Lepisosteus oculatus: one gene and its partners. The protein of the gene in region 2 interacts with the protein of the main gene of each other region in a pairwise test. Links are inferred from orthologs where the notes say so. Each region holds a gene or a part of one and is shown on either strand. Other genes may lie near its edges.

Region 1 (7,798 bases), on a different chromosome or scaffold from region 2:
AACTATTGTGGCCTAAGGCAAACAGGAGCAGAGAAGTACTCACATGTTCACTGGACTCTCGGCAGCCAGAGCCACAGCAGAGTCCAAGTGGATCTTGTACGCTCTCCCATGGACCTGCAGGAACTGGGCCGGGTCCTTTTTCTGAAATCACAAGACTCCGGTAACTCTCACAGTAGAGTATAACACTGCCAAACAACTCCCCAAGGGACAAGTGGAAACTAGGGGCTTAAGGGAAAAAAAGTTCCTGCTTTTGAATGTTCCTGAAATCCATTTTTTTTTTACACAGTAATGTTCCCGTTAATAATAATAATAATAATAATAATAATAATAATAATAATTGCTCACACTTATATAGCGCTTTTTCTGGACACTCCACTCAAAGCGCTTTACAGGTAATGGGGATCCCCTCCACCACCACCAAGCTAAGTGTACAACAGTACTACCTGCCGGGCATTACTGCACCCCCGCCAGTGCCTTCAGACGAGTCAGATTACATCACTCCCATGTGGTTAATTAATCATTTATCATCAATCTATCCCTGTTCTGCATAAACTACCCAACATGTTGCTTAATCAAACATTTGTCTGGTTGTTTTCTGAATGAAAGCCCCTGAGAAGACCAGGTGGAAAACACCAGCGCCTCGGGCAGGGGCAGGGCGAGCGCCAGCCGCGACCGGGCAGGGGCAGCTGGCCGCCCACAGGGCGGCTCCTGGGGGCCGCGGGCCAAGGCCCCGCTCCTCGGGCACGCCGACGGCTCGCTCACGATTTTCTCGTAGTACTCGCGCCGCCGCTCCGCCCGCCGCTTGTAATCCACCATCATGCCGCGCAGCTTGCGCTCATGCTTGCGGGCTTCGTGCCACATCCTGGCGCCGGGGCGGCCAAGCCCTGCTGCCGTGGAGACGGGAGGAGCCGGAGAGGCAGTCCGAGGGCAGCAGGAATCCCACAACACACCTGCACAGGGAGAAAGGATGCTGGGGGTGAAAAGGAGGCACAGTCTGCTGAGGGCCAAGGTGTTCTGGGCTCTGCCCCTGGGGCCACTGCAAGACAGCTGGCCGGGAGCAGGGGGTATTCATCTGCCCTCGGCCCAGGAGCCACAGGGCCTTGTCCAGGTCCTGAAATCAACCTCCTGTTCTCACAAATGTAGGCTTCCGGCAATAAGAGTTTACCGGTTCCTTAAAAGGTTGTAGCAGGGCGGAGCTGGTGGCTGCCCATGTGACCGCTATCACTTTTTAAGGGCTGCTTGCTCTTCACCGCTCTCCAGCCGCCCGCTCAGCCTTGCTCACGGCTTCTCGGGGGCTGAGCGGTTTCCCCTGGGGAATACAGCTGCCTACAATGGCGGCCGCACCCGGAGGAATGTGTCCGCGACACTCCTCATACTGCTCGCCTCTCTCCCTTCTCATGGGGGTTCCCGTCTAATCCCTGGCAAAACACACGAACGAAGCAGCGACACATCCAACACAGCCCCCGCGCAAGGGACTCTCCTAATCGCTCCTGTCCCTCCCTGATATGCAATCTCATCTACTGCTTTTGCTTAAAAATGGCATGATTAGAAACGCCTGCTTCGAATTCTTGCCCTAATAACATTTACTCACTTCGAACAGAAGTAATTTAAGGAATGCGGCGATAAATATTACAATTCCCCAACTGTTTATCTGTTTTTGTGGAATAAATAACAGCTGCGACCCCGGATCCCAATGGCGCCTGCACACGTACGAAATGTAGTCTTCTTCCTCCAACGTCTATGTTCCTTGAAAGGATTTTGGTTATGCTTGTCTGTAAGATATTTCGGGTCTTTCGATTTTTACCACCGGATATTCTTTGGTGTAAGATTTACAGAGTGCAATTAAATATATAAACACGTCGAACAGCCGTAACTGCACCCGAACTCCGATCGGGAGGCCATCACAACACACAGTCCTCCGGTATCCCGGCAACCACTTCCGAGGTCAAAGAGCAATGAGAGCGGAAGTGGAGGAAAGGGTGAACGGGAGTTGTGGTTTTAATATTTTTGGTGTATTTGAACAGAACTGCGGAGCTCGTTAATATTTTACCCTGCCTCCAAATGACACCAAACTGGTCCATTTCGGATATTATTGTGCACTCTAAGGAGAACATGACGTTATGCATCACATACCTGTGGCCACACGGATAGTAAATCACGGAATCACGCACACCCGCAGCCACGTGTCAGGCTGTTTCGTTGCGAAGCTGGACGCGGAAGCGAGCTCGTACAACCCGAGCTCCAGCAGGCGGCGGTGCAGGCTCTCGAACGAAAATGTATTGGAAGAATCTGTGTAAACAATCCGTTATGATATATTATTTCTCTTTCCCCTTTTGTCTTCTTTAATACTATTTAACCCGAAGCTTCAGTTAGATGTAGTTCTGTATTCTCCAGCACTGCGTGTTTGCAGCAGGAAACAGTACTGAACTCCGGAACAACACGACAAAGTCGGATTATGGGACACGAAGTTTATTCCATGCTGAAAAGAGGAGACAAGAAACACAACGTTTCGGCCGTGGAGGTGTGAGAAAGAGGATGGACTTTCTCTAAACGTTGTTTCTTTTCTTCCCTTTCCAGCATGGAATAAACCTTTACTTGTTCCCTTGCAGCCAACACATGCTGACGCAGCTCCCTACTTGAACTACTCACGGGACAAGACACGACAGTCTCCTGGGCTACGCCTTCTGTTTTTGTGTCTCTTTATTTTCTTAGCGGTATTTTCTCTTTCGCTGTGGCAGAATTGACGGGCGTGTTCTAAGCTACGGTTCCAGCCCTCGGTCTGTGGGGAAGTTTTAACACCCCTGGCTTTGCAGGAGCGCAGCGTCAGCTGGTGCCCGTCCCACCTGAGCACCAGCTCTAACCGATGACTTAACCGATCTGCTTCGTTGTTTAGATTTTTAACTTACTTCTTCGGTCAGTCCTGAGGGCCAAATACACCAAACTTCAAGTGTACTTTTCCCAGCAGCTTCAGGATACCGGCCTGTACGAAGGTTGGAACGACAGCGTATCAGACGGTTCGCCTTCTGCAGAGTCCAACTGGTCACATTCCAGGCAGCACACCGGAATCAGGGCTGTTCTGAAATTCACGCTCACTCTTGAGCAATCCCAGCCGTAGGACCTTCAAATGTCCCCAGTGTGGGCAGGGCCTTGGGTCAACAGCCCATGTGAAGTGCGGCCCCTCCTGTGGCACAGCACCCCCATTTGCAATACAGGGGTGCTGGTCTGGAATTTGAAGCAAGTGAGGAGAGAGTACCAGCACACTTCAGGCACTGCTGTACCCCCCCGCCTGCTCTGCGTGGATTTAATAATAACAAATTCTTTACACTTCTATAGCCTCCAGTCAAAGCACTTTACAGGTAATGGGGACTCCTCTTTATCAGTGTGCAGCCCCACTTGGATGATGCACCAGTCCGCTCCCCACACACCAGCTCTCAGTGGGGAGGAGAGCAGAGTGATGATGCCAGTTCAGAGATGGGGATTATTAGGAGGCCATGACTGGTAAATGCCAGGGGGAAATTTGGCCAAGATGCCAGGATAACACCCCTACTCTTTTCGAGAAACGCCCTGGGATTTTTAATGACCACAGGAAGTTAGGACCATGCTTTTACATCTCATGGCGCCTTTTTACAGTCTAGTGTCCCCGTTGCTATACTGGGGCATTAGGACCCACACAGACTGCAGGATGAGCGCCCCCTGCTGGCCCTACTAACACTTCTTGCAGCAGCAGCCTTAGCTTTCCTCGGGAGTCAGTCCCCTCCAGGTACTGACCAGGCTCACACCTGCTGAGCTCCAGTGGGCTGCTGGCTGTGAGCTGCAGGGTGAATCAGCTGCCGCCTGGTCTGGCCCCTCGCTCTCTGCAGCGAGAGCAGCAGGTGTTTCTGGAGCCCCTGTCCAGAGCAGGTTCATCTGAGGGCCTGCGAGGACGTGACTCGGACTCCTGGCAGGCATCTGCAGGCAGACGCTTCCTGCACCTCCCTCAGGACGGGCGGAGAGAGGAAGTTCGCTCATCACCTTTCCTGGTCGGCAGGGAAACCCCTCGCTGCCCACGTCACCTGGACCCCAGGCACTGCCAGCAAGGGCAGGGGTCATTGTAGAAACTCCCTTACAAACTATACCATGACTTAATGACTCATCTGTAGAGGTCTTAGGGAGCAAATTCTTTGGAAACATTGCGCCTTAGTACACCCCCTCGTGCTTCACTGAGCTTTACTGAACAGTTTTTAGCAGGACGAACCACAGGAAACAGCAGTAAGACCTGTCCCCCCATGGTTAAGTTGTTTTAGTGAAGAAAGAGTTCTCCAAAAATAATATATGTAGTGATACAGGCCTTTGTAGGTGTAACCGCCAAAAAAACAAGTGCTTTTTATTTCCTTCTGGCAGTACAAGGGATGCTTGGCAGAAGACAAAGCATAAACAAGGATTTAAGTGAGTCAGTACAAGCACTTCAATTAGTAAGGCCCAGAAGCAGATTGAACTGGTGCTGCTTAGGAAAAGCTTGTCTGTGGCTGGTGCCCCGCCACCTGCTTTTTCCATCTTCCTTGTAGTTAACCCTGGCCAGGGTCCAGGGCTCTCCACTGTGGTTCCCCGTAGTTCACAGCAGCAGCCTGGAGTCTCTCTCGCTCTGTCAGCATGGGGTTGGGGAGATGCCCCCCTGGGGTGGCCTGTCGGGGTCCCAGCACACACAGACACAGGCTGCACTCTTGGTGTTAAACAAGTTTTAATTACTGTTCGCACCGGTTGGCCATCACGAGAGACACAAGGAAAAAGGGCAGAGATGAACCAAAAACTCTCAAAGATTTCACGGTACAAAAATGGTCAATAAAAGACAAAATATAAATATGTACACTATATACAGCTGAACTATTTACAGACAAGTACAAAAATCATACATCTTTTACAAGCATGAACGTGCCGCCTCAAAGGGGACAATATCCTTTTGTCATCTACTAACTACCAAACGAGCTGGATGAGCTAGATTATTTTCCCTTATTAGTAACCTTTCTAGGTTGCTTTTTGCCATTGTCTTCAGCTCCTAAGGGCATTTTCCCAAGGGCAATGGGGTCCTCAGGTTGTCATTCCATCTGAGCAGATAATTAGTTAATTGAACCACTAATTTTTCACTTAACTGAGCGCTTATCCCCAGGCCTAAAGAGAAATAGCAAACCACTGAAACACAGACCAGAAGACACAAGTGGAGCCTATGTGGACCTGGATTTGAAACCGAAAACAGCAGGCGCTTCTTTACGAATTGTGGGAGTGTGGAACAAGCTTCCAGCCACTGACATAGACGCTACCCTGGCTTCCTTCAAGGAACTGCTGGATAAGATCCTCAGGTTAGCTACTAACTTCCAAACAGGCTGGATGAGCTGAGTGGCTCCTCCTGTTTGTGACCAACCTCATATTCTTAACCCCTCAGGGACTGTGGCTCCTTGAGAAACAGAGCTGAGGAACAATCGCAGAAAACCTCCATCAGACAGGACTAAATCACCTCCCCGTTCTCCACCCCACAGCCTCTCAGGGAAGGGGTCAGTCAAACTGGCCAGTGTGTACTGTCCAGCTGTGGTCAAGAGGTCTGTCCTCCAGCCTGTCTTTCCGACACTACAGAAATGTAACTCATGCCCCGATGCAATGAGCTCTTAAGACCCCCGATCAGTAACGCAATCTGGAAGCTGCACTTTGTTAATGTTGGGGTCCCCACTGCACCCCCCGTCACTTCCTCTTCTCTCAGGCGGGGTCACAGGCCCTGTTCAGTGGGACCATAGCCCAGTTCTGGTTCAGAACCTCCAGGGGTCTGGTGAAAGTGGGTGTACAGAGATACAGAGCAGGGAAGGGGTTATGGAGAGCCCACCTGTGCTCAGCAGGATTGGTGGAGGGCAACTGGTCTGGCACAGTGGAGTCGTGTTTGGCCTAGGCTGTAGTTTGATCTGGTGGATGTCTATTGCAAAACCATATCTAACAAAAGTGGCCGAAATATTTCGTTCTCACGCTTTTGACTTATTTGTAAATTAAAATTCAAACGGATTACACACATGTGAAGTAGAGAGTGCTCTTTAGCTGTGTAAAGGGTATAGGAGGGACACATATAGGAGTTGCACTGCAATGTCAAGACACTTCTGACTCAGGTCTGCGCAGCACTGAACTATGTCCCCACAGGACTTTCTCTAGCTTTGCACATTCTCTCCAGAAGGCAAAACACATTGAACAAGACATTTAACAAGCAGAGTATGAATCAGATTTACTGATAACATTGCTGGATGTACTGTATAGATTTCTCTACCCACGCAACAGCTGCTCAGAAGCTTTTATACGAACACCAGGTGCAGCTCTATCGTTAAAGGACCTGTCAAAACACACACATATACACAATATTGCCTTCATTGACATGAGAAACAAACAAAAAAAAAACAACACAATACTTTATTCTTCCAATAAAGGAAATGCGATTAGTTTAACAGCTGGAATGAGAAGTTCAATGCTGACCCTCACATCACTGCCTCCATCAAAAGGAAGGAACCTTCATAGTGGCAACAGGGCAGAGCAGGTGCACCGATACCCAGACACGCCAAAGAGAGGCCTTCTTCTCTCAGGCTCTCAGGCTCTCAGGCTTATGTCAAGAGTTCCAACTCAGGGGGAAAATGCCACAAGGGTTGAGGTGTGGGAGTCAACAGAGCTGTGCAGCAGTTCGCCCCCTCTTGGGCAATCAAGGCTCACGATCTCCAGCCTCCTCAGCAGCCAAACCCTTCACTCCCTTCCCTCGGGGGCCTAGCAAGGCCTGCAAAGCCTGGGAGCACGGGTGGCCGCAGTGGCAGACGGACAGAAGCCGACAGGCGGGGCGGGCCTCACACTTCCACCTCCTGGCTGTCGGAGAAGTGGAAGCGGTTGAGTTTCTCGCGCTCCCGGTTGGAGATGTCGAGCTTGGCGCTGCTCCTCCTGGGCTTCTTGGTTTCTGGGGTGGGCGGCAGGCTCAGCTCAATCTCCTCACGACAGCGGGGCACTGGGGGAGGGCCGCCCAGGTTCCGGATGAGGGTGACGCACTCCCGCTGGTTATTGATGCCCTCGTCCTGCCCGGCGTGCTGGCGCTCCTTCCTGCGCCTCCGGAGCTGAGCCAGCAGGTAGATGCACAGCGTCGTTCCCACTACCAACATGGCCAGCAGGACGACCATCACCACGTACAGAGTGCTCCCGGAGCCTGGCACGGCAGAGGCGCAGAGAGCACCGTCAGGCACAGGCACACACAACCCCCGGTGCCCACAGCCAGACTCCCACACAGAGACAGAGGTGACACCCACACAGGCCGATACACACAACCAACACCCACAGGCCAATATACACACAATTAACGCACACAGGTGATACACACACACTATTAACACACACAGGCGATACACACACAGCTAACACACGCAGGCCGATGCACACACAATCAACACACACAGGCCGATACGCACAATCAACACACACAGGCGATACACACACAGCTAACACACGCAGGCCGATGCACACACAATCAACACACACAGGCCAATATACACACAATTAACGCACACAGGTGATACACACACACAACTAACACACACAGGCCGATACACACACACTATTAACACACACAGGCGATACACACACAGCTAACACACACAGGCCGATGCACACACAATCAACACACACAGGCCGATACGCACAATCAACACACACAGGCGATACACACACAGCTAACACACGCAGGCCGATGCACACACAATCAACACACACAGGCCGATACGCACAATCAACACACACAGGCGATACACACACAGCTAAC
Region 2 (7,561 bases):
TAAGAATTTCAATCCCTAATCTCAATATTTGGTAGAAGCATCTTTAGCAGCAACAACAGCCATGAGTCTTGTAGGTAAGTATCTTCCAATTTTGAAAACTGTCTTGGTCCAATTTTTGCCCATTTGTCTTGACAGATTTATTCAGGTTTTCTTAAGCTGCTATTAAGTTGTTTAGAGATTGCTTATGGACAGCAGTTTTTAAGTCTGCACAGATTTTCAGTAGGATTCAAGTCAAGACTTTAATTGAGGCACTCAAGAACATTCATTTTCTTTTTCTTAAGACACTCTAGTATAGCCGTGCTGTAGATCATTGTCTTGCTGAAAGGTGAATTTCCATCAGAGTTTTAAGTATTTAGCCAACTGAAACATGTTTTCCTTTAGTATTTGCCTGTACTTTACTCCAACCATTTTTTCTTCAATCCTAACAAGCTTTCAAGTCCCTACAGAAGTTAATCATGTCATTAACATGATAATACCACCATCATATTTGACTGTAGGAATGGTGTTTACTAGGAGATGTGTTGTGTTGTTGATACTTGATATTTATTTATTTCACAAAAAGTTCCAATCTGGTCTCATCTGACCACAGCACCTTTTACTACTGTTCTTTTTGCAGGATCTTGCAGGTTCTTTGTTGCAAAACTATAGAATTTAGCTGTCAGGTTTGCTCTCACTGGAACGAGAGCTAGATGAGTGATTTAGAGTTTGCCATGGGAGTCGGCCACACTTCCACTCACCTGTCACTCAGTGCCGGTTACCAAGGAAACACATTCCAACAAGAACCTCTATCACCATGGGGCAAATTGCATCCAGACCCACATCAAGTGGTGCAGAATATTTAAGGTCTGCTTGGACAGTACTCACGGCTCTGGTATAGAGTTTAGCTCTGACCTCAGCTTTGTTTCCTCGCTCTGTTCCTGAGTTACTTTGTGTTTATTATTTTCCTGGATTCTTGACTCTAGCTTCAACCTGATCAATTCTGTGGATTTGTCCCTTTGTGCTTCTGTGATTTCCAGTGCTATGAACTATGCCTGCTTGTCTCAATTATGATTGTGGAATTCCATTTATGCTTTCACTGTCTCTCTAGCTTTGTACCATTTACAATCTGACCACAGTGTAATTGTCCGCACCATATTTGCCTGCACTTCTCCTTATGCACTTTTCTCTCTTTCGCCCAGTGCATGGGTTCATCTTACGTCTCTCACAGCTGCTGGTTAATTCCACCTTAAGCAGTGGACATGACAAGTATATCAGAGCCCTGAGTAATGTCTGACCTTGGATATTCTGCATCACCTGATGCAGATGTGGATTTAAATTGCCCACAGGTGATACAAGTTGCCTGTCAGAATCTGTTTCTGTTGTTACCAGTACTGAGTGACAGGTGAGTGGAAGTTTGGCCGACCACCGTCTCAAACTCTAGATCACTCCACAGTGTTCCAGTGAAAGCAAGCATATTTTCTCCCATTTCAGCTATTGATTTCTGTAGTTCTTTCAAAGCTGTCATTGGTAGTGTTGTGCTATCACAGTGGTTTGCCTAACCTAATTCCACTGTGCTCAGCTACTTAGTTTAGAGGGAAAGCCTGATCAATTCAGTATCTAAGTGGTAAAAGGTACTGTCAGTTTCTCAGTGGCTGAGTAGACTTTTCTCAGAGGGATATTCAGAGACTTCTATATTTCTGTACCCTTTACTGTGTTTTACAAAAACTTTATCCCTGACTTGCTTTAAAAACTCTTTAGTCTCCATGGTTGAGTCTTTGCTTTAAATTCACTACCTAACCAAGAATCTTCACAGAGCCTGATGTTTTTATTCTGAAATTATGAGTTATGTGCAAACATTATCATACACGTCAGATGTCACTCAACTAAATATGCTCTTTAATTTGGTTACAAATTAATTTAGGTTTGACACAACAATGATTTGTATTCTAATGCAGTTATGGCTTTTTCTATTTCTCTTTCGTATTAATTAGATATTTTATTTCTCTCTGTCATGACGACGTCCTTCGGCTAGAGATTGCCCTGGAAAACCATCATATTCTAACAAGGGCTCATGGTTTTCCAGGGGTTTGTTGCTCTGACCAGATCATGTTTTTGTGATCCGTGTTAATTAGCTCATTATTCAATTCCCACTTTTTTATATAAAGCCAAGGGGCTGCTCTTCATTTTTCCACATGCACGTTCTCTTGCACTTCTGTCTCACCCCACATTTGTGTCTTGACTGCACTTACAGTATGTTGGTGCCTCATGAACGTCCTGAAGTCTGTTTTTCTTTTTTTTAGGGCTCTTGACACAATGAGGTGACCCCTCAAACAATAATTATTTCCTGCCTCGTATATGACTACACCACCTAGCAATACAAACAGGAGGCTAGGACCGCTCTACTAAACCAGAGGTTCTATTCATATCCCAGAATCACCAATGCACACACAAACCAGCAACAAACATTAGTATCATATAAGTTCCCTTTTTATTTTCTAAGCACAACAACATTTACTATTACTCCAAGACCCAAAGAAAACAGCATTCTCAGCAACAAAAAGGTACTTCCAAGCATCATAATGATTTCCTGAGTGTCTGCTGTCCTTTCAGATGATGAGGAGAGGGTGTTAGAAGGTCTAAATGGTACAGAGAAGTACAGCAACACATAGAAGAGGGATGCCACACAGTCCAATTTCCCCAGTATACATCTGGGCTATATCGGGAGTCCTCCTGTAGGCTGTAGTTCCCCTTTGTTCATTAACTACTCACCAGACAGGTTTCTTTGCTCCTTTCTCTCAAGTATTAAAATGTCTCTACACAGTACCTCCATTCCTCTGCTTAGAGCTGCCTCTGTTCAAGCTCAGAACTTTGTATCCCTTCTGTTTGCCATCTCCCTCCCCCACCCCCGGCCTCAAGTCGGCCCTTCTATCTGTCCAGCTCCTTTCCAAGGAAGCTCACAATTACCCTGCATCACCTGAGGCGGTAGTCTCTATTCTAGCCAGTACCTTTTAACTTCACTTTTTCTTTTCACTGCTCATCACCTCAACCCTCAAATTTTCCGATCTGCACCCCTGGCCTTTGAGGGCTGCCTTCTAAGCCAGTTCAGTTCCTTTTCAGGGATCCAGTATTGGGGTCCCTTCCATACCCAAGACTCCCTCCAAAGGGCTTTAATCAGTAGCCTTTCTTTTCAGCAGGGATGTGGTTAGCCTGGCTTCTCCTAGGATCGATGATTTCTTCCATTACTAACTGACCTGGGCTGATTAGCCCCATTGGCCAGTAATTAATTCTCATTATCATCTTTTACTTTTCAGTCTCCGGTCTCCTGTACTTGGGTTCTGACAAATCACCACCCATGCAGCTGTATCCAGCTACTGCATTACATGCTCTTTTAATTTTTGGTTTGAAATTGTGGAGTGTGTTAAGTATACAACAAATATTAAGAACTTCTAAAAGTAACTTGACTGCAAGTTTAAAGGTAATAAATTTTAGACTGAACAAGGGCCTGAATATTTTGTTGACACACTGTAGTTTGAAGTAATGATGGTTTTGATTTTGAAGTTCTTCACTGGAAAGTAAAAATTTGTCACACCAGGTCTATGAAACTGGTTGGACACCTTCAAATGTCATATCTAAACTTTTCTGTTGGCAATGTCAAGTGTTTATTTAGAGACACTCTTGTAAACAATCAGTAATGTGAAGCAAAGGACTTTCCATGGAGTGATCTTTCTACTGTCTTTTTACAAAGCACATGTGAACACTGTTACTGTAACAAAGTTCGTGCCAGAGGTGATGAGCAAGGAATTAAAGGATCTGACATGTTATATGTAAGATACCATACCCCCCAATATCCGCAGAACTAATGTAAAAAAAAATCACACCTCTGATTATATGCCAACTAATGTATTAACATGGTTATTTCTTATGTAACACAATAAACCTCTATGAGCATTTGCTCTCTGAATGTTCTAGCAGTCATCCTGCATACCTATTTGAACCATTGCATTGCAAAAAATATTATTGGCAGGTATTCGAAGACCTAACTTGTGGCAAGATGTTTGAATCATAATTGCTTATGCTGATTATGTAAATAGATTCCCAGTGATATAAACCAAATGGTCACTCCTGCTTGAGTTATTAATGCTGCATTATGCAAACTGAATTTAATGTAACAATTGCACGGTGCTGTCTACCATATTTACTTGATGGTCCAGAATGATTTTCTTCTCTAAATACACATTTGAGGGTGAATTAATGAGTAGGGAAAGAAAGAAAACGATATGATATACATGCATTATGCTCTAAATACATTACAGGAATGTGTGGTATTCTATGGATTATATATTATATATTTATTCCTTTTTAACAATGCAGTTCTGATGGGGCTGTTTAGTTGAGTGCTTAGCAGGAGACTGATAAGGACGTACTGCCTCTGGAAATCAATTCATCCATGCCTTACTCCTCCTTAAGCCTGTGAAAATCCTCATTGCCAAGGATACCGGGGAAGGAGGGGTGGAGGGTATGGGAGAGAGGGGAGGGGTGGAGGGATCTGCTATTAGGAGGAATGTGGTAGTGATGTATAAGGTATGAACGATGTGGCCTGCAGATTGCTGCTGCCGCTATTGCTGTGACTGTAGGTGTTTGCTGAAGCTGGATTGGAGCTGCTGAGGATTTTTCCTACTCGGATACCACTTTGCAAGGCAGGCTTCCCAAAAAGAAGGGGGTCTACCTTCTCCAAACAGAAAGGCTTAGCCTCTGGAGTGGGACAAGTCAAAGGGAATAGGACTCTTCAGGTGGGAGTCACGCCAGAGGGAGTGAGGGGGTCTGTATGGGGGACAGCTGCACACCAGCTCAAGGTAAGAGAATTTGTCTATCACATTGCTTTTCATTGCATTGCAGGAGTGCAGGGAGGGAAACCCTGGGCGTTCCAGTCAGTAAAATGTCATTGAGAAGGCTATTGCAGGAGTACCTTGGAACACAGCTGCATTAGGCATCTGTCTCTGTGAGTGGTGATTTGTCCCACTTCAGCCTTATTAATTCCAAGTTTTTTGTGTTTGTGTTTTTTTAGAGGTTTATGTTATGGAATGGAAAATGCAATGGGTCTGCTTGGATACAGACAGTAGACAGTTTGTCATCAATTCCAGCTCTACTGCTGCTGTACTCCTCCTCTGTATGTGTAGTACTTCGGGATATGATCACATACAGGGGCATCAAAACCTTAGACTAGCTTCACTAAACTATAAAATGTACTTTAATTCATTTTCCTCATGTCTCTCATATCTTTATTAAATTGATTTTCTAATTCCATAAAGAGGATTAAGATAAATATTGAAGTACTACATTGATTATTCAAGACAAGCTCTCCATCAATAAAATTGCAGTCCATCTTGGTGTTTAAATATCAACCTTTACTGTATGTCAGTCTTTGTCTTATCAATCTCTCTACAGGTGTATGCATTTGCTTAATACACCCCTGTTACAAGTATCACAGATCTTGGATGTCTTTTTTCAGTTAGTGGCTAATAATAAGATCTAAATGGAGTTTAAAGGGGTGAAACGCCCTAAGTATGTATGTATTTGTACAAGGATAAATGCAAAAGATTACAGTTCTTTTCCATTGAGGCAAACAGCTCAAAAGGAATTCTGTGTGAGATGGAATCAAAATGCAAATAGTTATTCCTGTAAAAGTTTAACTCTTATTTCTGAAAGAGCACATTTAAAAGGGGCTTGTCATTATATTGTACCTGCTGTGAAGCTTTAGTTCAATCCTGAAGTGTGACAGCACTGTCTGTGCCCCATTTTTGCATGTGTGTCTGTGTCAGTCAGCAAAGGGCTGTAAGGAAAGTAATATAACTGGAGTACGTGCTCTAGACCAGTTCTTTGGCTAAACTGCCAGTCATAGTATGTCCTTTAAACTTGCTGTGTGTTAAAATTATCCTCTTTTTCTACCTCACTGATTGTACAAGGAATTAGACGACATTCTACATAAGCATATGTACTGTATTACTGATTGAAAAACAATGGAGAAGAGGAAGTCAAAGAGGAAGTCAAACAGACTACAGCTTTTAAGGGTTTGTCAGATTTTGTTTTATATATGTGCCTTACTACTGCAGACATCCTCTTTAGGTTTTACAACTTGGGTCACTTGTATTTTTCAGAGAGACAGTACACTGCTGATTTTTGGAATTATTTGAAGTGGAACTGCAGTGTGCTGTGTTTTGCAAGTGCCTTTGGTGCTGCTATTATGCATCAGCTGTCTGAAATATTGCTCAACTGCCTGCAATTCAAAAGACACATAAGGGACGCATTGTACTACATCACAATGGAAATTGCAAGAAATATTCACAGCCCAAAATAAATATGATACATGTACTGTACTTCTCTCCCTTGTTTAATGATTTGGAATATTTCACTTCTAAAACTGAATGCATGTACAGTATATGTAGTGGCCTGACTGTTTTTATACAACAACAAAAATTCTTAAGCTAAGATATACCTGTATAATCGGTGTGAAATATGGTTAGGTCACTCAGTTTTACTGACATTATTACTATTAAAATATGATAAAATCCTGCATATAACGCCTTCTTTTTTATTGATTTATTTCTATTTTCACTACTGCACTTCATTCCTTTGTATGGCAGCCTTCAAGCTGGTTTACGTTTTGCAAGGCAACATACAGTAGTTCAGAAGCATTATTTATATATTTATTTTTCTATTAATGTGCTAATTTAGATGTGTATTCTGAATACAGATCAGCAGCTGATGTTTAGTGACTGAACCACATTTACGACAGAGGCTGATACTAATATACTAAAAAGTGAATTACCTGATTCATGCTGAAAAATACAATGTTTAGCTGTTGATGTAATGCATGTCCATTACATTGGAACAGATTGAGATGTTCTGCAAAAATATACTGTTGTATTAGTTAAGGATTAAAATTAAAATTAATTCATCATATATATATATATTTCCAGTAGAGAAAACTCTACAGGAAATCCCTTAGTAATTCAACGGTTCTTTAGTACGTTGAATCTTTATCAGATAGATGCTCACAGAAAGCATTTCTTTATGTTGGTATTACATGTAATCACTGTGAATGGTATATTAGAGAGCACTCAATCCAGTTCTTGTGTTTTGGTATAGGTTATGTATTTTTGTATATTAAAGAAAATCATTAACTTTTCATCAATTTTTCATTTTTGTTTAATTAAATTGAGGTATTGTCTTAAGAAATGAAAACAAAGCTTTTTAAAATTAGTCTATTTGCACTTTATCTCATACAATATCTGGATTACTCTCATTTATACACATGTATTTGAACAGTAGACAACAAAAAATATAGTTAAACACACTGTTCACTTCCTAACACCTGTTATTCATGGAAAATGATTAAATGTCTTTGTCAACTGAAGATTGTTGTTTAATGTCCACTGAAATTATATGGCTGTCACGCCTTCAACGTCCAGAGGACACCTACTCTGTCCTGTTCCTAGTTTCCCTGTGCTTTTCTTGTCCTTCCAGTGTGTCCTTGTGTGGGGCTATATATTTCCGAGTCACCCTTTGCTCTTCGCTTAGCATT
Region 3 (7,505 bases), on a different chromosome or scaffold from region 2:
TGAGTCACACTGGGCTGCAAAAACAATTCCCCCCCCTGGAATTCTCCTACATTCAGAACAAGTCCTGTGCATTCACATTAAAGCAGTAATTTGGGACCTCTCAGTATCAGTAACATTTTAAATTTCAGTCTCGTTATGACAGCATGAGCAACTGATTCCTTTATCCTTTATTGTAGGAGCTATCCAAGCATGAATGCAGCACATGGCGAAGTCATTAAATGTTTTAATAGATGTTAACTATGTGATAATGGTTTTCAACAAAGCTAGGAAAAAAGTGAAGTTTAAATTTTAACAAGTAAGTTACAAAAAAACTCAAAAGGTACAACACAGTTAAGTAGAATCTATTGCTACTTACTGCTGTTTGCAATCGCAATAGATTCTCTAAATCAAGATAATACTCTCTTTTCATAGCAATAGAAATATTTATCTGTGAGCAGTCTTTGCTTTCCTGGAAAACTGGCAAAGCTGGAGACCACTGAAGCATCCCCATGATTTTATAATAACTTCTCAAGGTTTAGGAAACCATCTCAGTCATGCATGCTGCTTATTTATCCACTAAGTTAATGCCTGAATGTGTTCTCTCTACTAATTCATCGAGAATGTGAAGGCAGAGGAACATGCCAGGCGCTTCCAGGTTGCTGCTTCAAAAAGGATTTTCATTGCTGGCCACACTTCAGTGTTTGATTGGCAACCCACACCTCGTCCACTGTCTCAATCAACGTTTCAACTGAAATCTGCAGCTTGGAAGGCTAATTCAAGGTCTGAAAAACTACCACAGGGTACACAGACGAAAGAAAAAATAATCATAACCCCAAACACCTCTGCAACATAGACATTGGTCAACAAAAGTTGTCCAGCTTATTTTTAATGGTAACAGAGGGCAGGCCCATTTGATTTTTATACTAGAAAATAAAAGTAGGAAAAGAAAAATAAAATTGATTTTCACTGAATGATTTTGTAACCGAACTAAAGGTACTCTAGCTGCAGACTCCTATTAATTCACCGGTAAATATTAATTCCTTCCATTTATTAATAAATTACATAAAATGCTATATTTACATTTCATACTGACTGTATTCAAACTTCATTAGTTACCAATGGGTTGGATGAAAAGAGCAGAAACTATAAATTATTCACTTCATAGGATTTCTGTATATATGAGGTAGGAAATCCAATCGTAACATAATTTCAGCTTAATTACTACAGTATATCATGCTTCAGTTAGGCATTTATCATCTTTTTTGATTATTTTGATTCATTGTTAGGTATGATCACCCGGGGCTATTTCAGTTTCTTATTTAAAAGTATTTAATTTTTTGCAGCCTAGCTGGACCACAAATCTATGCACTGTACTTGCTACTGTATCTCTGACTGCCATTTGAGTATCTCTGTGTTTTGGAATAGCTGGGGCTACCAGTTGAAATGAAGGACAGAGCAGAAACAGAAGCAGAGGCCACACTGCACTGATGATGCCGGACTGCAGCTGCTTGTTTCTTTATGGGGCAGCAGAAAACCCTTCCTGACTTCCGCTGTCCTGTTATCTGTGTGTGTGTGTCTGTTACGCCACTACTGTATTTCAGCTGAGGCTGCTCTCTTTCCTAATCCGACATCCATGTCATCTCCCATCCCCGGGTCATGTGGAGCCACTGACGCTACCAGAGAGTGGAAAGAATTCAAATTTGGGACGTTCTGAATAACAACATGGACACCTGTGGGAGTGAAGGGCTTGTCAAATTCAAAACCAGTACTTCATTCCTCTGGGAAAAAGAACCCAAAGGGCTTTCTCCTTGTCCAACAGGTATGGTGCTCCCCGTGAGCACCTGTTCATTTTCAGTCCAGTTATAAGACATATTTATTTGTGCCAGTTGATAAGTGTTTTTTTTTTATAAAATGCAGTGACAATAACACATTGATTTTTTCAGTGGATCAAGCCTTTCCCTCACGTGACTGCACTCAGCTTCCAAGAAGCTTCTCAAGGCTCTCCATAGTGGTGTTTATAGCTTTACAGCCCTATAAAAGGAAATTTGAGAATAATGGCCAATAGATTTATAAGCTGAAGAGGCCTACATTTGGGAAAAGCTAACGAAGGAGCTTACGATCTGTATATGCCCCTGTGTTCTTTCAATAATGAACTGGCACTTGGGACTGTAAAATTATTAAAACAAGCTGGGCCAGCGAGCTCAACAGTAAGCTATCACTTATGCGCTTGCTTGATTTGTCTCCAGGCATCATATGGAGAGTTCATCAAACACAGATAAAAGGCACAACTGAAAAAAGGGGACGATGCATGGAGTTATGACAAAGCCCAGAATGCATCCCAGACTTTGACAACTCTCGCAACATGTTGAGCTTGCTCAGAACAAAAAGCAAGTAAATGCTATAGACGAAATGTGAAAAGAGTTCAGAATCCAAGGAAAACGTATTACAAATCGGGGAAAATGTGTTACAGCTGTTAAACTCTTCAAAGAGAAAGACTTAAAATGAAAAAAAGCCTCTTGGACTTCTTTTCTTTGGCAGCTCCCACTCGCTCTTCATTAACGCAAGTGGACAATTTATGAACTGTGCCACGCAGCGCGCACACTGAAAATAACACAATCTTTAGGAAACACAGGCAAAAACGCAGCTGTCAACAGTGTACACTGACACAAAAGGTGAGTCAGGTATGCAATCTCTCCAAAACGTCTGTCTTTATCATTCAAATGAATACTGAGCGCAGTCGGAATAAAACCAATTGCTCTGTGCTTTCCACATCGGCCGTCCTAACATTCCATTATGGTCGACACAATCTTCTCCCCAGCCGACACCATCCCGATGGCAGGATATTAGTATATGCCAGAAAATGCAGCCTTCATACTTTAACAGGGAGAAGCCAAACTCAGCATCCATTTATTATAGGAAGCGTTAAAGTTTCATGCTTTTAAATATTAAATATTAATTTCGAATGCAAAAAAAAAAACTTACTTGACACCGTCTCAACAGCTCTCTCTCTGTGCGATCTGGCAAAACCAGGCCTGTTTTAGCATTTCCTTTGTGGATGCCAGGAACTGAAATTATATTCCTTCCCTTTTAAGGCTTTCTCAACTCTCCTGGCTCAAAGGCAGACATTTAACGGACTGCTCTGGGCTTCCAGCAAGACGGCTGAGCTGTATTTACTCCCTGATCGCGGTTTAAGAAGAACACAATAATAAATGATAAATGAGAGACTGTCCCCTATGCAAAGCAAGATGGCTTTGTAAAAGGGCTGGGATTTTTCAACCCCTCACTGTTTAGTTTCAGACCTGAAACTAATACTATAAAAAGCTCTATCACTCTGCAATAAACAAAAGACAGGTCTTTAATATACTGTATACTATGTGCATATATATATCTGAAAAATGCCACATTTTCTAAACAGTGTGCACTGTCATCAAGTGCACATGGGCAGAGGTCATAGTTACACACCTACAGTATAAGCAAACCTGACTTGAGGAGCTACTCAGGGCTTTTCTAGGCAGCCTGGCTGTGAATGCTGTCATGCCAGAGGTAAGGTACTGTACATTAAAACCCACTTCCCTGAAGCTGTGCAGAGAGTTCATTTGGCAGAAATGAGCCCAAAGAAATGAGAGATGGAAGTCAAATACAGTACATGGCTTTAGTTCAGACTAAAAGAAAGCTCTTTGGTATTTTGCATCCCTGGAAAAAATATATTCACTAAGGAGTTTATTTTGCATTTTCATCTTGCGGTGCTTAGGAGTATTTCTTTTTACAGTCGTGTTAAAATTGTGAAGTGGTGATTTTTTTGTTTTATTTTGAAACACGTTTACCCCTTTTTCCCCAAACATGACTGACTGAATTGTAGATTTAAATTCTTATTGTATTAATTCTGTATCTTCATTCCCCTTACTTAAACAAACTTAGAGGGATGAATCACTTTTCTGACCGGCCAGCTTAGAGCTCCTTGATATACAGTATTTGCCGCAATGGAGAAAATAAAAAAATCAATTAAATATCTAATAATATATTAACTGATTCGATTTAGAAACACATCACAGTGAAAAACATCCTTTAACGTACCCCAATTTTTTCTTCTCTTTATTCTTACAAATTACTATACCAGCAAGAAATCTGAGACAAATTTAGAAATCAATTCTCTTAAAAATAAACAAACGACCTCGGCCATGACTTCTCCTGGATTGTCAAGGAAAACATCTCCCCAGCCTCTTTTTGAAATAAGATGACAAGCATCAATTACAAAGTCAATGGAGCTCCAACAGACTCAGTGCCCAGAATGGGAGACAAAGCATCACTGCCTAGTGACATTTTGCATTTATTAATTTATTTTTTGGATATTTTGGCAAGAAGAGAGCAGAGAGCTTTAAGTATTTTTGGCTCACTTAGTATTAACTTTTCAATCTTTAAAATATGCCACAAAACAATAAGCAGAGATAAATAGTGTATTTGGCATGGTTAGCAAAGGAGCATGTTCTTTTTTTCAAATGTGTTTTCACCAGATTTTAGTATACTACTTAGGTATAAAATCAGGCTGCATCTTGTTAGTAAAAAAGTTAGAACACTGCAAAAAAGATCATTCTTTTAATACAATGCAGTTACATGGTATGAAGACACAACAAAGAAAAGAGTCCATGCTGAGCTTTGGCAACCATCTGTTCCCCACAGTTTCCTCACCCTAGAGCATGCTTTTATAATTTTGTGATCTTTTTAAATTTAATTTAGAGCTTTACACACAATGCATGTGTGAGAGTGGTGAATTTAGTGTTCTGAAAAAATGTCTTTGTTTCATTTAGAAATCTATTAGAGAGATTATAATGCTTTTTGCAATTTTGGGCTCTTACAGTATGTATATTATTACACAATATTACATGAGGCATTAGTTTAGAAAGAGGACCGAGGGCAGGTTGAGTTCGATGGTCACAAGCTGACTGTGACTGGGATTCCACTGGAGGCAGTGTGCAAGTCCTGGCAGTCAGTGAGAGTCGCACCTCTCCCCCTGCAGGGGGCAGCGCTGACTGTGACGTGATCAGACTTGAGTGGCAGGAAGTTGGTGGGGTTGGGGAGTGTGTCTGCACTCCCTCATTCTCCCCCGTGTGCGAATACGGGTTCGAGACTCATCAGCGGAGATGCAGCTCCAGCATGGGTGCCCCTATTCTAGGGACTGTTTTCAGAGTAACATGTGTTTGAGTGCATTTGGGATCATACAGACAGAAGACAGCCTGTGATAAAACTGAAAAACATTAAAATGTGCACTATCCTACTATAAAAATGTTTAATGTTAACGTTAGTCCTTTTTTTCTATTTGGATACCTAGTCCAAACAACAAGAATCTCATGGTATTTATTATCTGGGATCAGGACAGTAAATGTATTTTTATTTGAATTACATGCACGAAGAGTATAACAATTGACTGTATATAAGCAGTTTCCTGTTAAGTTAACACCTTCATGCAGATCAAAAAGAAAACAAGTTTCCTGATCATGACAATACCAACAACTGAGACAGGGTATTGATGTAAATTCTGAGAGCTGTTGTCCATGAAAACAATACCAATAAAAGAAGAATATACTACAGCAAACTATAACTACTTTAATCCACCTGATGAGCAATGTGTCCCCTTTTCTAATGAGTGTATTTTCCAACTCAAATATCCAGTGAATTGCATTTGGATTGTATATCACACAAACGTGAAAGGTCATGATGCCAGAATGACCTGAAATCAACAGTATCACCCTTAACTATCTAAGGTAGTTCAACCTGCCTAGAATTCTAAAATGAATACTCTTTTGTTTAGACTAAGCAACTTCACACTTGAGTAACTTTGAGTTTTTTACTTTGAGTAATACGATTCATATCAAATTAGGGCTTTAGCTTGAAAAAGGTAAGGCAGCAGTCTTTAAGTGCAGATGTTATTATCATCATTATTTCCTGAGCAGATGCCCTTACCCAGAGTAACTTACAAAATATACAATACATGTATTGCACATATAAAAATATACAGCAAATAAGAGAAAACCCTAAAAACCACAAATGTTAATAGAAACAGAGCGGGGAGGCAGAATGAAAATATCCACTGACACACTGACAGTACTAACAGTTTCCCAGTGCAGTACGAGAAGTCAAACTCGCTGTAATGCAAACATTTAGATGAATGAGCATTAACACAACAACCACATATCTACTGTACCGTACTGTATGTGCCTTAGTTTATTATTATTTGATCTGATATTTACTCATCATATAAATGGTTAAGAGTACAGCTATAGAGGTATATGGATTAACCATTGTTTGCGATTCAAGTAATATTTTTTTTTAAAAAAAAGGAAAAGCAACACAGAGATATTTAAACAGTGAAGAAAACATCCCTGACAAATCCAGGATTCCCTCAAGAAGCTCTTCCCTTGGACAGAAACACACAGGTACAGTACATATGGTCTGCAGTCAGATCAAACCTGGCTTTTTGGATGAACAATCCATCAAGCTGGCAGTAATGCTTTGCAGATGCTCAGCAACGCAAACCAGCCTCAGTCCTGCAGAGGGCTGAAACACCCCAGATCTGCTGACCTCGCCTCACAGGTGCGATCAGGTTGTCATAACGTCTGAATAACTTAACTTCAAGGTATGAGTTCCACCTCATGGTGACCAGAAACTGTCCACACCTATCAGGCATCTCCCAGTGAGTGGCACACTCATTATACCACCGAACAGTCCCACAAGAAGGTGGACTGCAATTTTCTGTCTTCATTTTCTTGAAGCATTCATTCCCTAAGCCCAGCAGATTCAAGCTACTTAACAGCTACTTAAAACCTTACAATTAAATAGCAGAATGACAAAATGACAGAAAACAGTTTTAAAGTTATGACAGAATTATTAAGGTATTGCATTGTACATTAAGATAAAAAACAGTATATGCAACAACCCAACTATAATTTCATAAGGGTTAAAACCCAGACATTTGATTATCTATGAATATATTAAATCACGGTAGCTAATATTGCTAGAAACACTATTAATAAGCAAAGTCTTTTTAGCATTATTACAATCAGATAAGATAATATCACTTTACTGACACATAATAAGAGACAATAGAGACACACAGACAGGGAGAGAAGCTGGGGGTCAGAGCGCAGGGTCAGCCATTTATACAGCACCCCTGCAGCAGTTGGGGTGAAGGGCCTTGCTCAGGGGCCCAACAGAGAAGGATTCCTCTGCCGGCCGCGGGATACGAACCAGCAACCTTCCAGAGTGCAGAGTCATAGCCCCAGAGCCACAAAGCTCACACATATTAATGTGCTTCATTTTGTGCCAAGGTCCATCTGTATTCTGTGCTAAATTGTTCACGTACCTGTAAGCTCTGAGTTACCCTCTACAGCAACAGGCTCTCCTGAAACTAGCCTCTGCATTTCTCATTCAAGAGACACAAAGACTGCACTAAAATAGACCCTTGTTTACAAGGGCTCAATGAAGGCAGCCATCCACTTAAATTTGGATTTAATATTACAAAGTGAGACATA

Evidence for each region.
Region 1: the proteins of disabled homolog 1 (region 2) and clasrp interact in a two-hybrid assay, tested with the Homo sapiens proteins (2 studies listed by BioGRID and IntAct). The link is inferred for Lepisosteus oculatus from reciprocal best matches to the Homo sapiens genes DAB1 and CLASRP.
Region 3: the proteins of disabled homolog 1 (region 2) and mbnl1 interact in binary tests that used the Homo sapiens proteins (3 or more experiments, as listed by UniProt). The link is inferred for Lepisosteus oculatus from reciprocal best matches to the Homo sapiens genes DAB1 and MBNL1.

Annotation. Positions count from the first base shown.
Region 1 is NC_090698.1:2,615,999-2,623,796, reverse strand, and holds the start of clasrp (CLK4-associating serine/arginine rich protein), read right to left. Parts: upstream 3,006-7,798; 5' UTR 2,907-3,005; intron 2,290-2,906; 5' UTR 2,174-2,289; exon of another isoform or gene 2,134-2,173; intron 1,925-2,133; exon of another isoform or gene 1,713-1,924; intron 1,697-1,712; exon of another isoform or gene 1,592-1,696; intron 951-1,591; 5' UTR 862-950; coding exon 763-861; intron 142-762; coding exon 44-141; intron 1-43. Other genes in the region: protein jagged-1b, read right to left, coding at 6,840-7,189. UniProt on the Homo sapiens protein: Probably functions as an alternative splicing regulator. May regulate the mRNA splicing of genes such as CLK1. May act by regulating members of the CLK kinase family.
Region 2 is NC_090704.1:17,827,371-17,834,931, reverse strand, and holds the start of disabled homolog 1, read left to right. Parts: upstream 1-4,559; 5' UTR 4,560-4,832; intron 4,833-7,561. UniProt on the Homo sapiens protein: Signaling adapter of the reelin-mediated signaling pathway, which regulates the migration and differentiation of postmitotic neurons during brain development.
Region 3 is NC_090708.1:2,857,986-2,865,490, reverse strand, and holds the start of mbnl1 (muscleblind-like protein 1), read right to left. Parts: upstream 3,006-7,505; 5' UTR 2,962-3,005; intron 1-2,961. UniProt on the Homo sapiens protein: Mediates pre-mRNA alternative splicing regulation. Acts either as activator or repressor of splicing on specific pre-mRNA targets. Inhibits cardiac troponin-T (TNNT2) pre-mRNA exon inclusion but induces insulin receptor (IR) pre-mRNA exon inclusion in muscle.